Saccharomyces cerevisiae S288C: one gene and its partners. The main gene of each other region encodes a partner of the protein of the gene in region 3 in a complex. Each region holds a gene or a part of one and is shown on either strand. Other genes may lie near its edges. A codon is read from its position in the direction of its gene.

Region 1 (3,720 bases), on a different chromosome or scaffold from region 3:
ACTATCTTTTTATCCTGTGGCGTTTGTTCAATGATGGAGTTCAATCTTGACCTGATGGCAAATAACCTCAACCAATAACCTCTGTTAATACAGGGAGATCTTTTAATTTTCTTAGGAACAAAGAATTTAAAATATTCCAACAGTTTATTATTCTTATCCATTTGGAAATTATTAGCCGAACTCAGTTTTGGCAAATACAATAACTCTACCGATCTTTTAGAAGCAATTGAGGAGTTATTTGTGCCTTGAATCGCCAAATCAGCGTACTTTTTACGTCTTTCTTGTTTGACATTCTTGTTCGTTTGCTTTATAGTGGTCAGATTCTTCATCGTATTAGATATGTGCACTATAGTTGTCGAAATTTTATGGCCATATGTTAGATGTGATGAGATGAGATGAGATGAAACTTTTTTTCCTTCGCTTTTTCAAAGGACATTAAAAAAGGACGTGAAATATTGATGATATCTATGTGTTTATATATTTTAATTATACATGGTAGTCTACTCCTCCTTGACCGTAAGTATTTCTTTAAACTGTCTTTTTGCTATATCCTTGAACGCTGCCGTGTCGTTTTTTTGACAACACTCCATTATGGTTCTATAACAAGCTAAAGTGTTAGATAATTCCTCGCACTTAACCCAGATCTTCCCATTGAGACCAATGGCGACTTCAAACTTGGTATGTGCAGCCAACACTTTTAATAACGGGAAGTCATTATTGAAAAGCAACTGGCGTGCGAAATTCAAATTCACGTCAATGATCATACCATCTTCCAATATCCCGAAACCAGCATCGCGTCCTGTAGTTGAGTCAAAACATTCTATTTCGGCTTCTAGTTCCTTTTCTGCGGTACAAACTCTCGCATACACTAGATCTCCCACTTGCAAAGTTGGCCTGTTTTTCTTTGAAGCATTGGGAAAAGCCATATACGATAGTGAAACACTGGAGGAGAAATTTTGCAACGAAACCTTATAGCTATCTGAAAATGTCCCTATAATGACACCGATTACAAAATCGTTTACAGATGGAATGTATCTCTTACTAGAATAGTCTATATATGCGGTCTGAACACCACTCTTACCCTTAGCGGAAACATGCAAAACACCTGTATTAACAGGTCGTATTTCTTGAGTATTGGGGTCACAATATATGCCAGGGCCCAGTTTAACAGGTGTAGTAGGGTCTACAGGAAAGCTATCACCAGGGAATATGAACGTAGACATCTTGTATGCTCTTGGTTAGTCGAAATGCTGGAGATGAGCTGCTGAAGCATCCGTTTGTGCTGTTGGTTTAATATGCTTCTCTAAACCAAAAAATTTCAGCCGATCAGGTCCGGGTCACACCACTACCCTTACTAGTAAACAATGATGGCTTTCATTAAGGTAACTTTAAGTGAGGTGGATGGAACTAGTTTCCACGAAACTTCATCGAAGAGGTCTGGGGTTCTATGACGTATAATTAAAACTCTGGGAGGTTTTCGGAGGTTCCCGTAGGTCAATTCTTAAGGCTCTATGACATATTCTGGGAGCGGAGATATTTTCGGAGGTCCCCGTTAATAAGAGAAAAGTAGCCATATAAAAGAGAACAATGAAATATTGCCCCAGAGAGTGGGTTCAAAAGCATGAAAAGGAACAGTATAACGCAGTATAACGCAGTATAACGCAGTATAACGCAGTATGGCAGTTAAAGGATTAGGCAAACCAGATCAAGTTTATGACGGTTCCAAAATCAGGGTCGGTATCATTCATGCCCGTTGGAACCGTGTCATTATTGACGCTCTTGTGAAAGGTGCTATTGAAAGAATGGCTTCCCTTGGTGTCGAGGAAAATAACATAATAATTGAAACTGTTCCTGGATCCTATGAATTACCTTGGGGGACAAAAAGGTTTGTTGACAGACAAGCGAAGTTGGGAAAGCCGCTAGATGTTGTAATTCCTATTGGTGTACTTATCAAAGGTAGTACAATGCACTTTGAATACATTTCAGATTCCACCACTCACGCATTGATGAACTTACAAGAAAAAGTCGACATGCCCGTCATTTTTGGCCTCTTAACTTGCATGACTGAAGAACAAGCCCTGGCCAGAGCTGGCATCGATGAAGCGCACTCCATGCACAACCATGGTGAAGATTGGGGTGCTGCAGCAGTGGAAATGGCTGTTAAGTTCGGTAAAAATGCTTTTTGAATAAGCGCAGAGAAATCTATACTATATATGTATATATACTCACTATAGAAGAAGCCCGCTCTTTGATTGTTTCCTCTTACGGTGCTTCAATGCATCTTTCATTTTGCGCCTCATATCACGGGTCCAATTACCTCTGTTAGCCCAGAACTCCTCATCCCAGTTCGATAGCATTGTTTCTCTTCCAGGAGCCCTTACTTTACTCAACTGTGTTTGTCCTACTAAAAATGGCGATTGCAAATGAGGGAAAAACAAGAAATTTTTGTTATCTTTATCTCTAGATACATGTGGTACGGGAGCCGATGTCAAACCTAGGGTGTCAGATGATTTACTTACTTCTTCCTCCAGTTGGTTCACATCAACATCTTTCGCATGATCAATATCATTATCAGAATCTTCAATCAATTTGAATTGTGATACAGGTTCTGCCTCGTTGGGGTTGAATAGGTTTCTTAACGTCTCAGTGTTGCTTATTGTACCTTGACCAATTTCCTTGGTGAAAGTCGGAATAAATTCATTATCCTCCTGCCCGTCGCCCTCGTCCTGTTCTTTCCTTTCCTCTGGTTTTTCTTGTGGTAGGGTGCTCTGGTCCTTCGTCTTATTAACATTCTCGTATTCGGGAGCGTTTACTTCTTTTTCTTCTTCTTCTTCTTCTTCTTCCTCTCCTTTACGTTGCTCTGTCAGAAGTTCCTCGTCCGAATCATTCAACGTCATTGGCTTATCGAAGTCAAAGTCCTTTAATAGGTCATTAAGAATAACATTATTTTTCTCCTTCTCCTCTTCTGACATATTCTCATCGCTGTCCATCTCTCCACTGCAAACGTTTTCATCTTTTGACACTGTTAACTGTTTCAGCCCATTTTTGAATCGAACAGTTTTAACAGCACGACTGTAATCCAATCTATCGACAATGTGGTTGTATCCGTTTTTCCAGAAATTATTTGTAAACTTGTACACAAGGTCATTCAATTCTTTGTTCCTTTCATAACCCCATAATTTAGTCTTATAGCATTTGTAAACTTTCAATGAACCATTGACATTGATCCTGAATGTAATGTTCCTCAATTGACTCCTTTTTCTCGGCGCCTCCCTCATTCTGCCAGCAATAACTTCCTTATGATCTTTCCAACTTTTCGCTACATTTTCCATTTTCTTATAATGTTGCCAATTCTTTTTTTTCATTTTAGCATTTAGTATAATATCTTCTTTAAGGTCCTTTGCATGTTGTACCGCCCAGGTGCTTTCCCAATTCGGCTTTGCTTCATCAACCTTCAAAATGTTCCCTTTAAACTTAACATTATTAAAGCTCTTTCTTAGCTTGTTAAAATCTGCCTCATCATTAAACCTTATATCGATAAATGCAAAGTGGTTGTGTTTTTCAAACTGAAAATCTTGGCAATCACCAAATTTTCCAAATCGATCTAGTAGTTCTGAATAACAATCATCTGCATTATGGAAAATATTTCCGACAAAAATTCTTTTTTGAATTACACTATCCATCGTCGTATATTACCTAGTTCTCACTTCAGGTACAATC
Region 2 (3,639 bases), on a different chromosome or scaffold from region 3:
TTTAACTCGTCTCTTATCCTCTCCCTTGCCAAAGAACCATTACAATAACAAATCATACCCATATAATGGTTTGGCAGAGTTGGATGAATGAAAAGATGATAGTTCGGAGAGGGGTGATACTTATCGGTGACCAGAAGAACTGTAGTACTTGTTCCTAGGGAAACGAGAACGTCATTCTTCCGCAGGGGTAAAGAACATATAGTGGCTAAATTATCCCCAGTCATGGGAGAGACCTTGCAGTTTGTATTGAAACCGTACTTCTCAATAAAATATTTACAGATGGTACCCGCTATCAAATTTTTCATGGGTGCTCTCATTAATTTTTGTCTGATAGTTTTATCCTTAGAAGAACTATCAATTAGATGTAGTAGCTCATCACTGAATTTTCTTTCACGTATATCATAAAGGTTCATACCACAGGCATCTGCCTCCTCTAATTCAACAAGATGGCCCACTAAGATAGAAGTCAAAAAATTAGACACTAAAGAAATGGTCTTTGTTTTTTCGTAAGCTTCTGGTTCTAATTGTGCAATTTTCAGAATTTGAGGACCAGTAAATCTAAAATGGGCTCTGGACCCTGTTAATTGAGCCATTTTTTCAGGCCCACCTATGCACTCTTCAAACTCTTGACATTGCTTTGCAGTACTGTGGTCTTGCCAATTGGGGGCGGTTTGCCTTGCAAATGCTACAGAGCTCACGTAGTGCAATAAATCTTTTTCCGGTTTCTTATTCAATTGCTCTAACAGAGATTCGGCTTGGGAGGACCAGTAGACAGACCCGTGCTGCTGGCAGGACCCTGAGACGGCCATAACTTTGTTCAATGGAAATTTAGCCTCGCGATATTTCGAGAGAACCAGATCTAGAGCCTCTAACCACATGGCTACGGGACATTCGATAGTGTCGCCGTGTATATAGACACCCTTCTTTGTGTGATAATGCGGAAGATCCTTTTCAAATTCCACTGTTTCTGAATGGACAATTTTTAGGTCCTGGTTAATGGCGAGACATTTCAGTTGTTGGGTCGAAAGATCAAACCCAAGATAGTATGAGTCTAAAGACATTGTGTTGGAAACCTCTCTTGTCTGTCTCTGAATTACTGAACACAACATTAAAGTACTAATCTCATCCTCCTTTTGTTTTTCTCGAGAGGGCCCCCTTATTCGTCCGCCTGAGATTGCATTGGCCGAATTGAAAAGTGACAGTTATGCACCTCAGCGGCTATTCCCTGCGTCGCTTGCTGAAGATTGAGGATTATAGGAAGTAGTAAGCTGGAAATGGTAATTTGTAAAAAGAAAATTTCTAATACTGTGACAATGTTATTAAATCGGGGTTGTTTTTGTTTGGGGCGGCCAGCGGAATAATTTGTTTTCAAGGACAGCAGAAGCTCAGAAGAACAAAATCTCCGTGATCTTTTAAACTTTTTTCCATTCTGATGGAATAATGGTCTTGATCCCCTAAATATTTCCTTTTTTATTGCAATTATGATAGAAATTAATAGTAGTCTATGCTGGATGATATATATATCTCTTTTGAGCTTGCTTCAAATTTTTTCCCGTTATAATGATGAGTGTTTTGCTTATTAAGGGTCTAGGACATTTCTATCAGTTTCTATACCAAAAGAAGAAAAAGTGGAGAATTGTTTGTTTATTTTAATATTTTGTTCTTTAGTTTTAAAAATTCAGAAGAGAAAAAAATTTTATTTGTCACAAGGAAATAAAACATAAACAAAAAAGAAAAATTAAGATTTGCAATTCTGCCGCTTAAGCAAAAGTAGATCATTCACTGGAATATATATATATAAACGCATTTATAATCTTGTAACGTGCACTCAATTTAGCTACGAAAGCCAACCAGCAAGGAACCTTTTATTTGAGTAGGTACATTTACATCTTCGGGTAACGCGGTGAAATTGAAAAATTTTAAGGCATTAATAATTGAAAAGCTAGAAGAAATGGATGAATGAATGACATTGCGAACCATTGTGCAATGAACATCATCCAAAAGAAAACATCATTTACACATATTTTCTTTCCAGGGTCCCACTGGTAAAATCTATTAACATATAAAAAGATTTACAAAAAAACTTTAGTGCCATAACTACAGCAGGATCATCATATGTCAAGACTAGAAATATACTCGCCAGAAGGGCTACGTCTCGATGGACGTCGATGGAATGAACTCCGCCGTTTTGAAAGTTCCATCAACACACATCCGCACGCTGCAGACGGTTCATCCTACATGGAACAAGGTAACAACAAAATTATCACTCTTGTTAAAGGTCCAAAAGAGCCAAGATTGAAATCTCAAATGGATACCTCAAAGGCTTTATTGAACGTATCGGTAAACATTACAAAATTCTCCAAATTCGAAAGAAGTAAATCAAGCCACAAGAATGAAAGGCGTGTTCTTGAGATACAAACCTCCCTGGTGAGGATGTTTGAGAAGAATGTCATGCTGAATATCTACCCCAGAACAGTTATCGATATCGAGATCCATGTCCTTGAGCAAGATGGCGGTATTATGGGATCTTTAATCAACGGTATTACCCTCGCTTTAATAGATGCCGGTATATCAATGTTCGATTACATAAGTGGTATATCCGTCGGGCTGTACGATACTACCCCATTATTAGATACCAATTCATTAGAAGAAAATGCTATGAGTACAGTGACACTAGGTGTGGTAGGGAAGTCAGAAAAACTTTCTCTTTTATTGGTGGAAGACAAAATTCCGTTAGATAGGTTAGAGAACGTTCTTGCCATCGGCATCGCAGGTGCTCATAGGGTAAGAGATTTGATGGATGAAGAACTGAGGAAACATGCTCAGAAAAGAGTCAGTAACGCCTCTGCTAGGTAGAATAAAAAACGCCATTAATTGCCACTGTTTATATAAAAGTACATAAAAAACAGTAAAATTGAAAATTGAACGCATTTACATTTTCGTGTTTCTACCGTAAAGCAAAACGCTTACAGTTTTTTCTTACCTATTGATGCGAATAAATCCTTTGGTTTCATAGAATGCTGGAAAACTTTTCTCCTTAAGTGCGTTACATTTTGGTTGACACTAGCAACCGTGTTAATGACAGTATGCTTCTTACTCAAATCGTCCGCGTTCGCATATGCTTCCCTAACGTGACTATGCTGCTTATACTCCTCAGCTATGAAATCCTTATCCTTATTAGAGGATGATTTTAGCGTATAATTTATCCATGTTTGTATCCCCGTATCATATTCATCTAGCTCACGCTTATAATTTCTCAACTGTTCTATCTTACCGGCGTGCGAAGTCTTACTGTTCAGTAGTTTATTCATATCTAATTTCGGTAAGTTATTCTGCTGCCCCAATTTCGCCATTTCTTCAGTACTGGGTTCATGGACGCTTGTCATTTCGCCTTGAGATACTGTTCTGTTTTCACTTTTGAAAGATGCACTGCGCGCTGCCAAATCATTGGCAGTATTGTTACTATTATCATTATCTGTTGTACTATTATCGTTTCCTGCATTTAATTGTTCCTGTGCGTCCATCGGTAGAGGTGGCAAATTCGATTGGTTACCAATCAAACCGGGAACATTATAAATCGTATTGTTGTCGTATATAGTCTTAGTGTCCCTGATTGTCTCCAAATCGTCATCTTCGCCT
Region 3 (4,360 bases):
GCATCTGTTCCTATTCCAGATGACTTCGTTAAGGTTCAAGGTATTGATTACTCAAAGCCTGAAGCCACTAATATGAGAGCAACTGATTTAATTGAAGCTATGAAGACCATGGGTTTCCAAGCTAGTTCTGTTGGTACTGCCTGTGAGATTATTGATAGTATGAGATCATGGAGAGGTAAGCATATTGACGAATTGGATGACCATGAAAAGAAAGGTTGCTTCGATGAGGAAGGGTACCAAAAGACTACTATCTTCATGGGTTATACTTCTAACTTGATCAGTTCCGGTGTACGTGAAACTTTACGTTATTTGGTGCAACACAAAATGGTTGATGCTGTCGTTACTTCTGCTGGTGGTGTGGAAGAAGATTTGATCAAATGTCTTGCTCCAACTTACTTGGGTGAATTTGCTTTGAAAGGTAAATCTTTGCGTGACCAAGGTATGAATCGTATTGGTAACTTGCTTGTTCCAAATGATAACTACTGTAAGTTTGAAGAATGGATTGTCCCAATTTTGGATAAGATGTTGGAAGAACAAGATGAATACGTAAAGAAACATGGCGCTGACTGTTTAGAGGCTAACCAAGACGTGGATTCACCAATCTGGACCCCATCTAAGATGATAGATCGTTTTGGTAAGGAAATCAACGACGAATCCTCCGTATTGTACTGGGCCCACAAGAATAAAATTCCAATCTTTTGTCCATCTTTGACTGATGGTTCAATCGGTGACATGTTGTTTTTCCATACTTTTAAAGCATCTCCAAAACAACTAAGAGTTGACATTGTAGGAGATATCCGCAAAATCAATTCAATGTCCATGGCCGCTTACAGAGCCGGTATGATCATCTTGGGTGGTGGTTTGATCAAGCACCACATTGCCAATGCTTGTTTGATGAGAAATGGTGCTGATTATGCCGTTTACATTAACACTGGTCAAGAATACGATGGTTCTGATGCAGGTGCAAGACCTGACGAAGCTGTGTCTTGGGGTAAGATCAAGGCTGAAGCCAAATCCGTCAAACTTTTTGCTGATGTCACCACTGTTCTTCCATTGATTGTTGCTGCTACCTTTGCCAGTGGTAAACCAATCAAAAAAGTTAAGAATTGATGAGAGAATTTTGAGATGAAAAAAAAAAAAATGAATCTGTACTATTTCTTTTTTTAGTGCAAAAGTTTTGTTTTAATATAGAGATAAATAAAAAAATGAACATATTACTATAATATCAACAAAATATGATGTAATGTCTGCAATAAAGATGAGTCAATTGCATTTCTATACGTACTAATCGTGTGTACATAGCCATGACATTATGTAAGTTTATACACATAAATTGCGTTGGAGTCTGCTGTGTAGTTTATAAATGTGTAAACAGCGGCTTTTGTATTCCTATTAGTTGCCGTTACCTCTCATTTTTTCGGCGGTAAGAATGTCACTGCCTATGGATTCCATTACATTTTTCTCAATCAGTTCACCTACGTTTGAATAAACCATACTAGCTTCGTAAGCACTTACTATACGTTGTTGAGTAATGCCTATTTCACAGAACGCTAACGCTTTGATCACGTTCGCATACCGGCAAATTGCTTGTCGTATGTTGTTCGATATGGAAGGATCGTTTTCATCCGAATATATTTGCCATGAAGACTCTTCTTCCAGTCTTGTTATGGAGGGATTTAATGATACCGCACCAGTGGGTCCAGTTGATTTAATTGAGGAACTGTTATTTGCAGACGGCGTATCCCTCGCTAAGTCCATCTGAGATGTTTTCCTTAACCATATGTAACCATTGACTCCGAGAACTACGGTTATGTTGCCGGGCAAATTATGAGTATGGTTCTTGGCTCTCACTATTAATGAACTCGGGACTTGGCAAAACATCCCGTTTCTTAACTTCCCGTACTTTAGAGACCTTGTATGTAAAGAGGCACTACCATCTTGAAATAATGATTGAACTTCTGCATTCAGGAGGTCACCTTCCTTAAGGAAGCTTCTCATTTGTAGTTCATCACTTTCAGATTTTCTTCTTAGAATACCACCCGGTAAATTCACAGAGCCCAACATAAGTACTGCATGTTGCTTACCGCCAATGTCTACTTTCCATCTCTTGTTACCCACTTCAGCAATTCTCCCTACGACGTGATCACCAGTTTCTGGGGCATAACGACCTTTCAATGGAATTACCGATAGCAGCCTATTGACACGGGATACAGTACCAGCAACAGAGGAATACGTCATATTATCAAGAAAATACGTACCGTGACCTCTCATCCAGATAGGGTCATCAGTGACCAGCTCACCTGGCGTCACAATTTGAGAATCAGACTCACTTTTAGAAGCTGAGTTAACATCGTGCATGTAGATATCTTCTTCATCATTTTCATCATCTGATATCCCTGTGTTGTTATAGGACAGGTTAGATGAATTTTGGAAGGCACCGTTCCGCTTGGTAATTGTGATAACTTCGGACATATCTGTTTACGCTTGTGTGACTACGCAAAGATTTAGAATGCAAGCAGTACTTAAGGAAGGATATTTTTCTTCTACTTTTGTTTTAGTTTTCTTAATTTTTTTTTTTTTTTCACCTCATCGCTCAATCCATACTGAGGAAGAAAAAGAAAAAAAAAGATTCACTGAGGATATTTGAACAAACCAGTTTAAACCATAAGTAAAGGTAAGGATATTTTTCATTGCATGAAAATCGCACTGCCAGTATTCCAAAAATTTAATAGATTGATCAGTTCGTGCAAGATGTCAGGAGTGTTCCCATACAACCCACCCGTGAATCGCCAAATGCGAGAATTGGATAGGTCATTTTTCATCACCAAGATACCAATGTGTGCAGTCAAGTTCCCCGAACCCAAAAATATCAGTGTGTTTTCTAAAAACTTCAAAAATTGCATCTTGAGGGTGCCCCGTATCCCGCACGTTGTTAAGTTAAACTCATCCAAGCCAAAGGACGAACTGACAAGTGTACAGAACAAGAAACTAAAGACTGCAGATGGCAATAATACCCCAGTCACGAAAGGTGTGCTGCTACACGAATCCATCCACAGCGTGGAGGATGCGTATGGAAAATTGCCTGAGGACGCCTTGGCGTTTCTTAAGGAAAACAGTGCGGAAATTGTACCACACGAATACGTGCTCGATTATGATTTCTGGAAAGCTGAGGAGATTCTTCGAGCCGTGCTGCCCGAGCAATTCCTGGAAGAGGTTCCAACGGGTTTTACAATCACAGGCCACATTGCCCACTTGAACTTGCGCACCGAGTTCAAACCATTCGACTCGCTCATCGGACAAGTCATCCTTGACAAGAACAACAAAATCGAATGTGTCGTGGACAAAGTCAGCTCCATTGCCACACAGTTCAGGACTTTTCCTATGAAAGTCATTGCTGGGAAAAGCGATAGTCTAGTGGTAGAGCAGAAGGAATCCAACTGCACTTTCAAATTCGACTTTAGCAAGGTGTACTGGAACTCCCGATTGCACACAGAGCATGAAAGACTCGTCAAACAGTACTTCCAGCCTGGCCAAGTAGTCTGTGATGTTTTCGCCGGCGTGGGGCCCTTTGCTGTACCTGCGGGCAAGAAGGATGTCATCGTTTTGGCTAACGACTTGAATCCTGAGAGTTACAAATACTTGAAGGAGAACATCGCATTGAACAAAGTGGCCAAGACCGTCAAATCCTTCAACATGGATGGCGCTGACTTCATCCGCCAGTCGCCACAGTTATTACAACAGTGGATTCAAGATGAAGAGGGCGGCAAGATCACGATCCCTCTGCCTTTGAAGAAACGACACAGATCCCAGCAACACAATGACCAACAACCGCCACAACCACGCACCAAAGAGCTGATCATTCCGTCACATATTAGCCACTATGTCATGAATCTACCAGACAGCGCCATTTCTTTCTTAGGAAACTTCCGTGGCATCTTTGCAGCACACACTAAAGGCGCCACTGATACCATCCAAATGCCATGGGTGCACGTGCACTGTTTTGAGAAGTACCCGCCTGGCGACCAAGTCACTGAGGACGAGTTGCATGCACGCGTTCATGCCCGTATTATTGCCGCGCTCAAGGTCACTGCAGACGATCTTCCGTTGAATGCCGTTTCGTTGCATTTGGTGCGCAAAGTTGCACCCACCAAACCGATGTATTGCGCGAGTTTCCAACTTCCAGCTAACGTATGAAGCGATCTGCTCTTGCAGTTTGCCGTGGGAGGAAAAAGGCAAAAAGGCGACCATTAGAAAAAGAAACGAGATGACTAACACCTTTATCTTCGAGAAGGCGCGGGGCTGACAGGGCACTGCGCGATGCGTCATACTACTTGAATACAACACAACCCGTCTTCTGTTA
Region 4 (5,433 bases), on a different chromosome or scaffold from region 3:
AATAAAGTTGACATTTGGAATGATTCTTCTCCAACATGCAGCATAATTAAAACGACGGGAAATTTAGTACATTTGGCTCAAGGAACGCTGACATAAATACTATTTCTAATCTACTATTCGAAGAGATGTTGGATTTCTAAAAAAAAAAGAGCTCAACAACGGAAGACCGCCTATTAACCCCGAGTGTCTGTTTTTTAGTATACTCGAAGCAAACAAGAAAAGTTTGTTACTTAATTTCTGGCCTAAACAAGGTAGTGCTACCCTAGAGGAAGTACGATATCAGTACACTTTTGTATTTTTAACGAATTATGGTATTCTTTAAAATATTTAACATGCTATCGAGTTTTTCTTTCTAAAATGCGGTTTCAAAATTTGAGTCCGCTTTCTATGGAAAATATGAATGAGGCGAACGTGCTTGTACCATAGTCAGATTTTAACCCGTAGGTGAGAGCCTGAGGCTTCTGTAAACCACCTTGGAAACACATACGGGTTATAAGATTTTAACAAACAATCAGTCTCCATACTCATCCTAGGATCTCTTCTTCATTTGATGAATAAAGGATTCAAACTTCAGAAAGTTATTCAGCGTATATTGGCTTTCCTTTAATCTAATGCCCCAAGCCATCATAAATAGCCATATTACTTTGAAAGTGCTCATCCGTATACACTGCAACTTTTCTTCTTTTCTCTTTAGCCGATTATAGCTCCTACCTGTTTTTTTTTTCTTCTTAAGATTATTTATATTCCAATTTTATCATCCGTATTGTTTCCAATAGCGTTCCAGTGATCAGTTATATACTTCGAGAGGCAGATAACCTTTCTTTTTATAAGTGTTTATCAAATTTAAGTCTGCAAGCTATCATAAGACGAGGATATCCTTTGGAGACTCATAGAAATCATGGAAAGCACATCAGGAGAACGTTCCGAAAATATACATGAGGATCAAGGGATACCAAAAGTAATTCTGCCCGCTGATTTTAATAAATGCTCTAGAACTGACCTAGTGGTGCTCATATCACGAATGTTAGTATCGCTGATAGCAATCAATGAAAATTCAGCAACAAAGAAATCTGATGACCAAATTACTTTAACACGATACCATTCTAAGATTCCTCCAAACATATCAATCTTCAACTATTTCATACGACTGACAAAGTTTTCCTCTTTAGAACATTGTGTGCTTATGACATCACTCTATTATATCGATTTATTGCAAACTGTGTATCCTGATTTTACGCTTAATTCGTTGACTGCCCATAGGTTTTTATTAACAGCCACCACAGTCGCAACAAAAGGCTTATGTGATTCGTTCTCAACAAACGCCCATTATGCAAAAGTTGGAGGAGTACGATGTCACGAATTGAATATACTGGAGAACGATTTTTTAAAGAGAGTAAACTACAGAATCATTCCGCGGGATCATAACATTACGTTATGTAGTATAGAGCAAAAACAGAAAAAGTTTGTCATAGATAAAAACGCATTAGGGTCTCTCGATTTGGATTCTTATTCTTACGTTAATCGTCCAAAAAGTGGATATAATGTTCTAGATAAATACTATCGAAGAATAGTTCAGCTGGTGGGTTCCTTTAACGCTTCACCTGATAAGAGTAGAAAGGTTGATTATGTTCTCCCGCCAAATATTGATATAGTGAGTGAAAGTGGCTCCCAAACTACTCAACTAAAGGGGTCGTCATCACCCAATTCTCACTCTTCACAAAAGCGATATTCTGAGGCAAAGGACGCACATATCTATAACAAGCGATCAAAGCCAGATTAATGATTTTTCGTGGGGTATTATGAAAGCAATCATGATTGAGCAAAATTAAAACTTTCCATTTGTACATATATATATATATATATATATATATCTGTGTGTGTATAATAAGCAATTGGCCATCATTTGGCTAAAAAGTTCAAGATTTCAGGTAGTATATAAGAGAATAACTTCCCTCTTTTGCTAAAGAAGGATATGTTCTATTTCAGCCTTTTTGCATCATAAGAGCATAAGCGACAGAAAACACTTCGAGATGAGCTTGAGAACTCCATTTCAATTAACTTGATAAATACATGTAGATTCATATCATCACTGTTCTTTTCAGATACTAGTTTCAAAACTTCCTTGACAGAACCATTTCATGTTCAATAATGAAAATTACTTTCACATGTTTTAGTGGAAAAATACTGAACAATGAAATTTCAATATCGCATATAATAATTTTTGTTATCAAATATATATTTTTCGGAAGTCATATACATTAAATAATTAAAACATTATTTTTAAAAATTAAAAAAATATATTTTAGCAAATAGTTTTTACTTTTTTTTAAATGCAAAATAAGTTCACGTGATATTATTAATAATATTTTACCCAAAAATATGAGGGCATCGGAAAATTTTTCAGTAATGAATATTAATGTTCATCTGAAGATAGACGAAATAGGAACAACAAACAGCTTATAAGCACCCAATAAGTGCGTTATGACTTCTGAAAATCCGGATGTACTTTTATCTAGGGTGATAAATGTGGTGAGAGCAGCATCATCGTTAGCCAGTCAAGATGTAGACTTTTACAAGAATTTAGACAGGGGATTTAGTAAAGATCTGAAATCAAAAGCAGACAAACTTGCGGATATGGCGAATGAAATAATCCTCTCTATTGATGAGCATCATGAATCATTTGAACTTAAAGAAGAGGACATTTCTGACTTGTGGAACAACTTTGGAAACATCATGGATAATTTGTTAGAAATGTCAGACCATTCGCTGGATAAGCTGAATTGTGCAATAAACTCAAAGTCAAGAGGTTCCGATCTTCAGTATTTAGGCGAATTTTCAGGAAAGAATTTTTCTCCCACCAAAAGAGTCGAAAAACCTCAGTTGAAATTTAAAAGTCCAATTGATAACAGCGAAAGTCATCCGTTCATACCTTTATTGAAGGAAAAACCAAATGCTTTGAAGCCACTCTCTGAGAGTTTGAGGTTGGTTGATGATGATGAAAATAACCCCAGTCACTACCCCCATCCTTATGAATATGAGATTGATCATCAAGAGTATAGTCCAGAAATTCTCCAAATTAGAGAGGAGATTCCCTCAAAATCCTGGGATGATTCGGTACCAATTTGGGTAGATACAAGTACAGAACTCGAATCAATGTTGGAGGACTTGAAAAATACGAAAGAGATTGCCGTTGATCTTGAGCATCACGATTATAGGTCATACTATGGTATTGTTTGCCTCATGCAAATTAGTACAAGGGAAAGGGATTATTTAGTTGATACTCTAAAACTTCGCGAAAATTTACATATTCTGAACGAAGTGTTTACGAACCCTTCAATTGTGAAAGTTTTTCACGGTGCATTCATGGATATTATTTGGCTTCAGCGAGATTTAGGTTTGTATGTCGTTGGTCTCTTCGATACTTACCATGCGTCTAAAGCAATCGGTCTTCCTAGACATAGTTTGGCCTATCTTTTGGAGAATTTTGCCAATTTTAAAACTTCAAAGAAATATCAGTTGGCTGACTGGCGTATAAGACCGCTTTCAAAACCCATGACGGCATATGCTAGAGCAGATACTCACTTTTTACTAAATATATATGACCAGTTGAGAAACAAACTTATCGAGTCTAATAAGTTAGCAGGTGTTCTTTATGAATCAAGAAATGTCGCAAAAAGAAGGTTTGAATATTCAAAGTACAGACCACTGACACCTTCTTCAGAAGTTTATTCTCCAATCGAAAAAGAGAGTCCTTGGAAAATATTGATGTATCAGTACAACATACCACCTGAGAGGGAAGTATTAGTAAGAGAGCTATACCAATGGAGAGATCTTATTGCAAGAAGAGACGATGAATCGCCACGATTTGTTATGCCAAACCAGTTATTGGCTGCACTTGTCGCATATACACCTACTGATGTCATAGGTGTTGTTTCTTTGACCAATGGCGTAACTGAACATGTCCGCCAGAATGCAAAACTATTAGCTAATTTGATAAGAGATGCATTACGAAACATCAAGAACACCAATGAGGAAGCTACTCCCATTCCATCTTCCGAGACCAAAGCAGACGGAATATTGTTGGAGACTATAAGTGTTCCTCAAATCCGTGATGTTATGGAAAGGTTTTCGGTGTTGTGCAACAGCAATATTTCCAAGAGCCGAGCCAAGCCTGTCACTAATTCTTCTATTCTGTTGGGTAAGATTTTACCACGTGAGGAGCATGATATTGCATATAGCAAAGACGGCTTGCCAAATAAAGTGAAGACGGAAGATATCAGGATCCGAGCACAAAATTTCAAGTCTGCCTTAGCAAACTTGGAGGATATCATATTCGAAATAGAGAAACCTCTCGTTGTTCCTGTCAAGCTAGAGGAGATTAAGACAGTAGACCCTGCGAGCGCACCTAATCACTCGCCTGAGATTGATAATCTTGATGATCTTGTTGTTTTAAAGAAGAAAAACATTCAAAAGAAACAACCAGCAAAGGAAAAAGGTGTAACGGAAAAAGATGCTGTGGATTATTCAAAAATTCCGAATATCTTATCTAATAAGCCTGGCCAAAATAATAGACAACAAAAGAAAAGGAGATTCGACCCATCATCTAGCGATAGTAATGGACCAAGGGCAGCTAAAAAGAGGAGGCCTGCCGCCAAAGGTAAGAATCTGTCATTTAAAAGGTGATTATGTAAAACAAGCGTATTTTTTTATTTATAAATTATGGTAATTTTCATTTAAGACCTCTAAATTCATCTAATCGAATATCTGTGTCATGGAGTTATGGCTCCCCCATGCACACCATTTTCTCTTTTTTTGTTTCTGTGTTTCCCTTCATCTCCTTTATTATGAAAAGTACAAGTTTTATATAATTTCAACGTCGGAGGTTATCCGGAAATCTATAGTTGAATTTTTGCAGGATTATACTTCGCTCGAATATTGTGCGTGTTAAATACTCAGCGAGAACAATACTTCCAAGTTAGAAAAGGGATTTGCTCATGTTAAAGCAATGGCACTCCGAATGGACGGTGTCAGGAATTCTTTTCTTCACATCAGGCTTCGCATAGAAAATGGCCATTGGCAAAAGGTTACTGGTGAACAAACCAGCAGAAGAATCATTTTATGCTTCTCCAATGTATGATTTTTTGTATCCGTTTAGGCCAGTGGGGAACCAATGGCTGCCAGAATATATTATCTTTGTATGTGCTGTAATACTGAGGTGCACAATTGGACTTGGTCCATATTCTGGGAAAGGCAGTCCACCGCTGTACGGCGATTTTGAGGCTCAGAGACATTGGATGGAAATTACGCAACATTTACCGCTTTCTAAGTGGTACTGGTATGATTTGCAATACTGGGGATTGGACTATCCACCATTAACAGCATTTCATTCGTACCTTCTGGGCCTAATTGGATCTTTTTTCAATCCATCTTGGT

The links.
Region 1: RRP4 (region 3) and RRP40 share a complex: the UniProt entries of both Saccharomyces cerevisiae proteins name them as parts of the RNA exosome complex.
Region 2: the proteins of RRP4 (region 3) and SKI6 are in contact, whole or in part, in a cryo-EM structure (PDB 5G06), measured with the Saccharomyces cerevisiae proteins. Residues at the interface, in NP_011936.1 of Saccharomyces cerevisiae: Phe14 (codon at 2,433), Gln15 (codon at 2,430), Ser50 (codon at 2,325), Asp51 (codon at 2,322), Ser52 (codon at 2,319), Val55 (codon at 2,310), Thr56 (codon at 2,307), Pro57 (codon at 2,304), Gly58 (codon at 2,301), Glu59 (codon at 2,298), Tyr74 (codon at 2,253), Ser83 (codon at 2,226), Val84 (codon at 2,223), Ala85 (codon at 2,220), Leu100 (codon at 2,175), Lys101 (codon at 2,172), Gly102 (codon at 2,169), Arg103 (codon at 2,166), Ala117 (codon at 2,124), Glu118 (codon at 2,121), Lys125 (codon at 2,100), Gly130 (codon at 2,085), Lys131 (codon at 2,082), Gln132 (codon at 2,079), His133 (codon at 2,076), Asp179 (codon at 1,938), Glu311 (codon at 1,542); in NP_011711.3 of Saccharomyces cerevisiae: Ser28 (codon at 2,197), Asn30 (codon at 2,203), Thr31 (codon at 2,206), Asp37 (codon at 2,224), Tyr41 (codon at 2,236), Ile50 (codon at 2,263), Pro56 (codon at 2,281), Lys57 (codon at 2,284), Glu58 (codon at 2,287), Arg60 (codon at 2,293), Lys62 (codon at 2,299), Met65 (codon at 2,308), Met113 (codon at 2,452), Ile116 (codon at 2,461), Tyr117 (codon at 2,464), Pro118 (codon at 2,467), Arg119 (codon at 2,470), Thr120 (codon at 2,473), Ile148 (codon at 2,557), Asp149 (codon at 2,560), Ala150 (codon at 2,563), Gly151 (codon at 2,566), Ser153 (codon at 2,572), Met154 (codon at 2,575), Phe155 (codon at 2,578), Asp156 (codon at 2,581), Tyr157 (codon at 2,584), Arg225 (codon at 2,788), Asp229 (codon at 2,800), Leu232 (codon at 2,809).
Region 4: RRP4 (region 3) and RRP6 share a complex: the UniProt entries of both Saccharomyces cerevisiae proteins name them as parts of the RNA exosome complex.

The regions. Positions count from the first base shown.
Region 1 is NC_001147.6:53,061-56,780, reverse strand, and holds RRP40 (exosome non-catalytic core subunit RRP40), read right to left. Parts: upstream 1,224-3,720; coding exon 501-1,223; downstream 1-500. Other genes in the region: tRNA methyltransferase PPM2, read right to left, coding at 1-329; lumazine synthase RIB4, read left to right, coding at 1,677-2,186; NOP8 (Nop8p), read right to left, coding at 2,229-3,683. UniProt on the Saccharomyces cerevisiae protein: Non-catalytic component of the RNA exosome complex which has 3'->5' exoribonuclease activity and participates in a multitude of cellular RNA processing and degradation events.
Region 2 is NC_001139.9:886,767-890,405, forward strand, and holds SKI6 (exosome non-catalytic core subunit SKI6), read left to right. Parts: upstream 1-2,115; coding exon 2,116-2,856; downstream 2,857-3,639. Other genes in the region: XKS1 (xylulokinase), read right to left, coding at 1-1,109; FYV8 (Fyv8p), read right to left, coding at 2,967-3,639. UniProt on the Saccharomyces cerevisiae protein: Non-catalytic component of the RNA exosome complex which has 3'->5' exoribonuclease activity and participates in a multitude of cellular RNA processing and degradation events.
Region 3 is NC_001140.6:232,187-236,546, forward strand, and holds RRP4 (exosome non-catalytic core subunit RRP4), read right to left. Parts: upstream 2,473-4,360; coding exon 1,393-2,472; downstream 1-1,392. Other genes in the region: DYS1 (deoxyhypusine synthase), read left to right, coding at 1-1,110; TRM5 (tRNA (guanine) methyltransferase), read left to right, coding at 2,695-4,194. UniProt on the Saccharomyces cerevisiae protein: Non-catalytic component of the RNA exosome complex which has 3'->5' exoribonuclease activity and participates in a multitude of cellular RNA processing and degradation events.
Region 4 is NC_001147.6:324,351-329,783, forward strand, and holds RRP6 (exosome nuclease subunit RRP6), read left to right. Parts: upstream 1-2,481; coding exon 2,482-4,683; downstream 4,684-5,433. Other genes in the region: IZH2 (PAQR-type receptor), read right to left, coding at 1-14; PHO80 (Pho80p), read left to right, coding at 899-1,780; ALG6 (dolichyl-P-Glc:Man(9)GlcNAc(2)-PP-dolichol alpha-1,3-glucosyltransferase), read left to right, coding at 5,067-5,433. UniProt on the Saccharomyces cerevisiae protein: Nuclear-specific catalytic component of the RNA exosome complex which has 3'->5' exoribonuclease activity and participates in a multitude of cellular RNA processing and degradation events.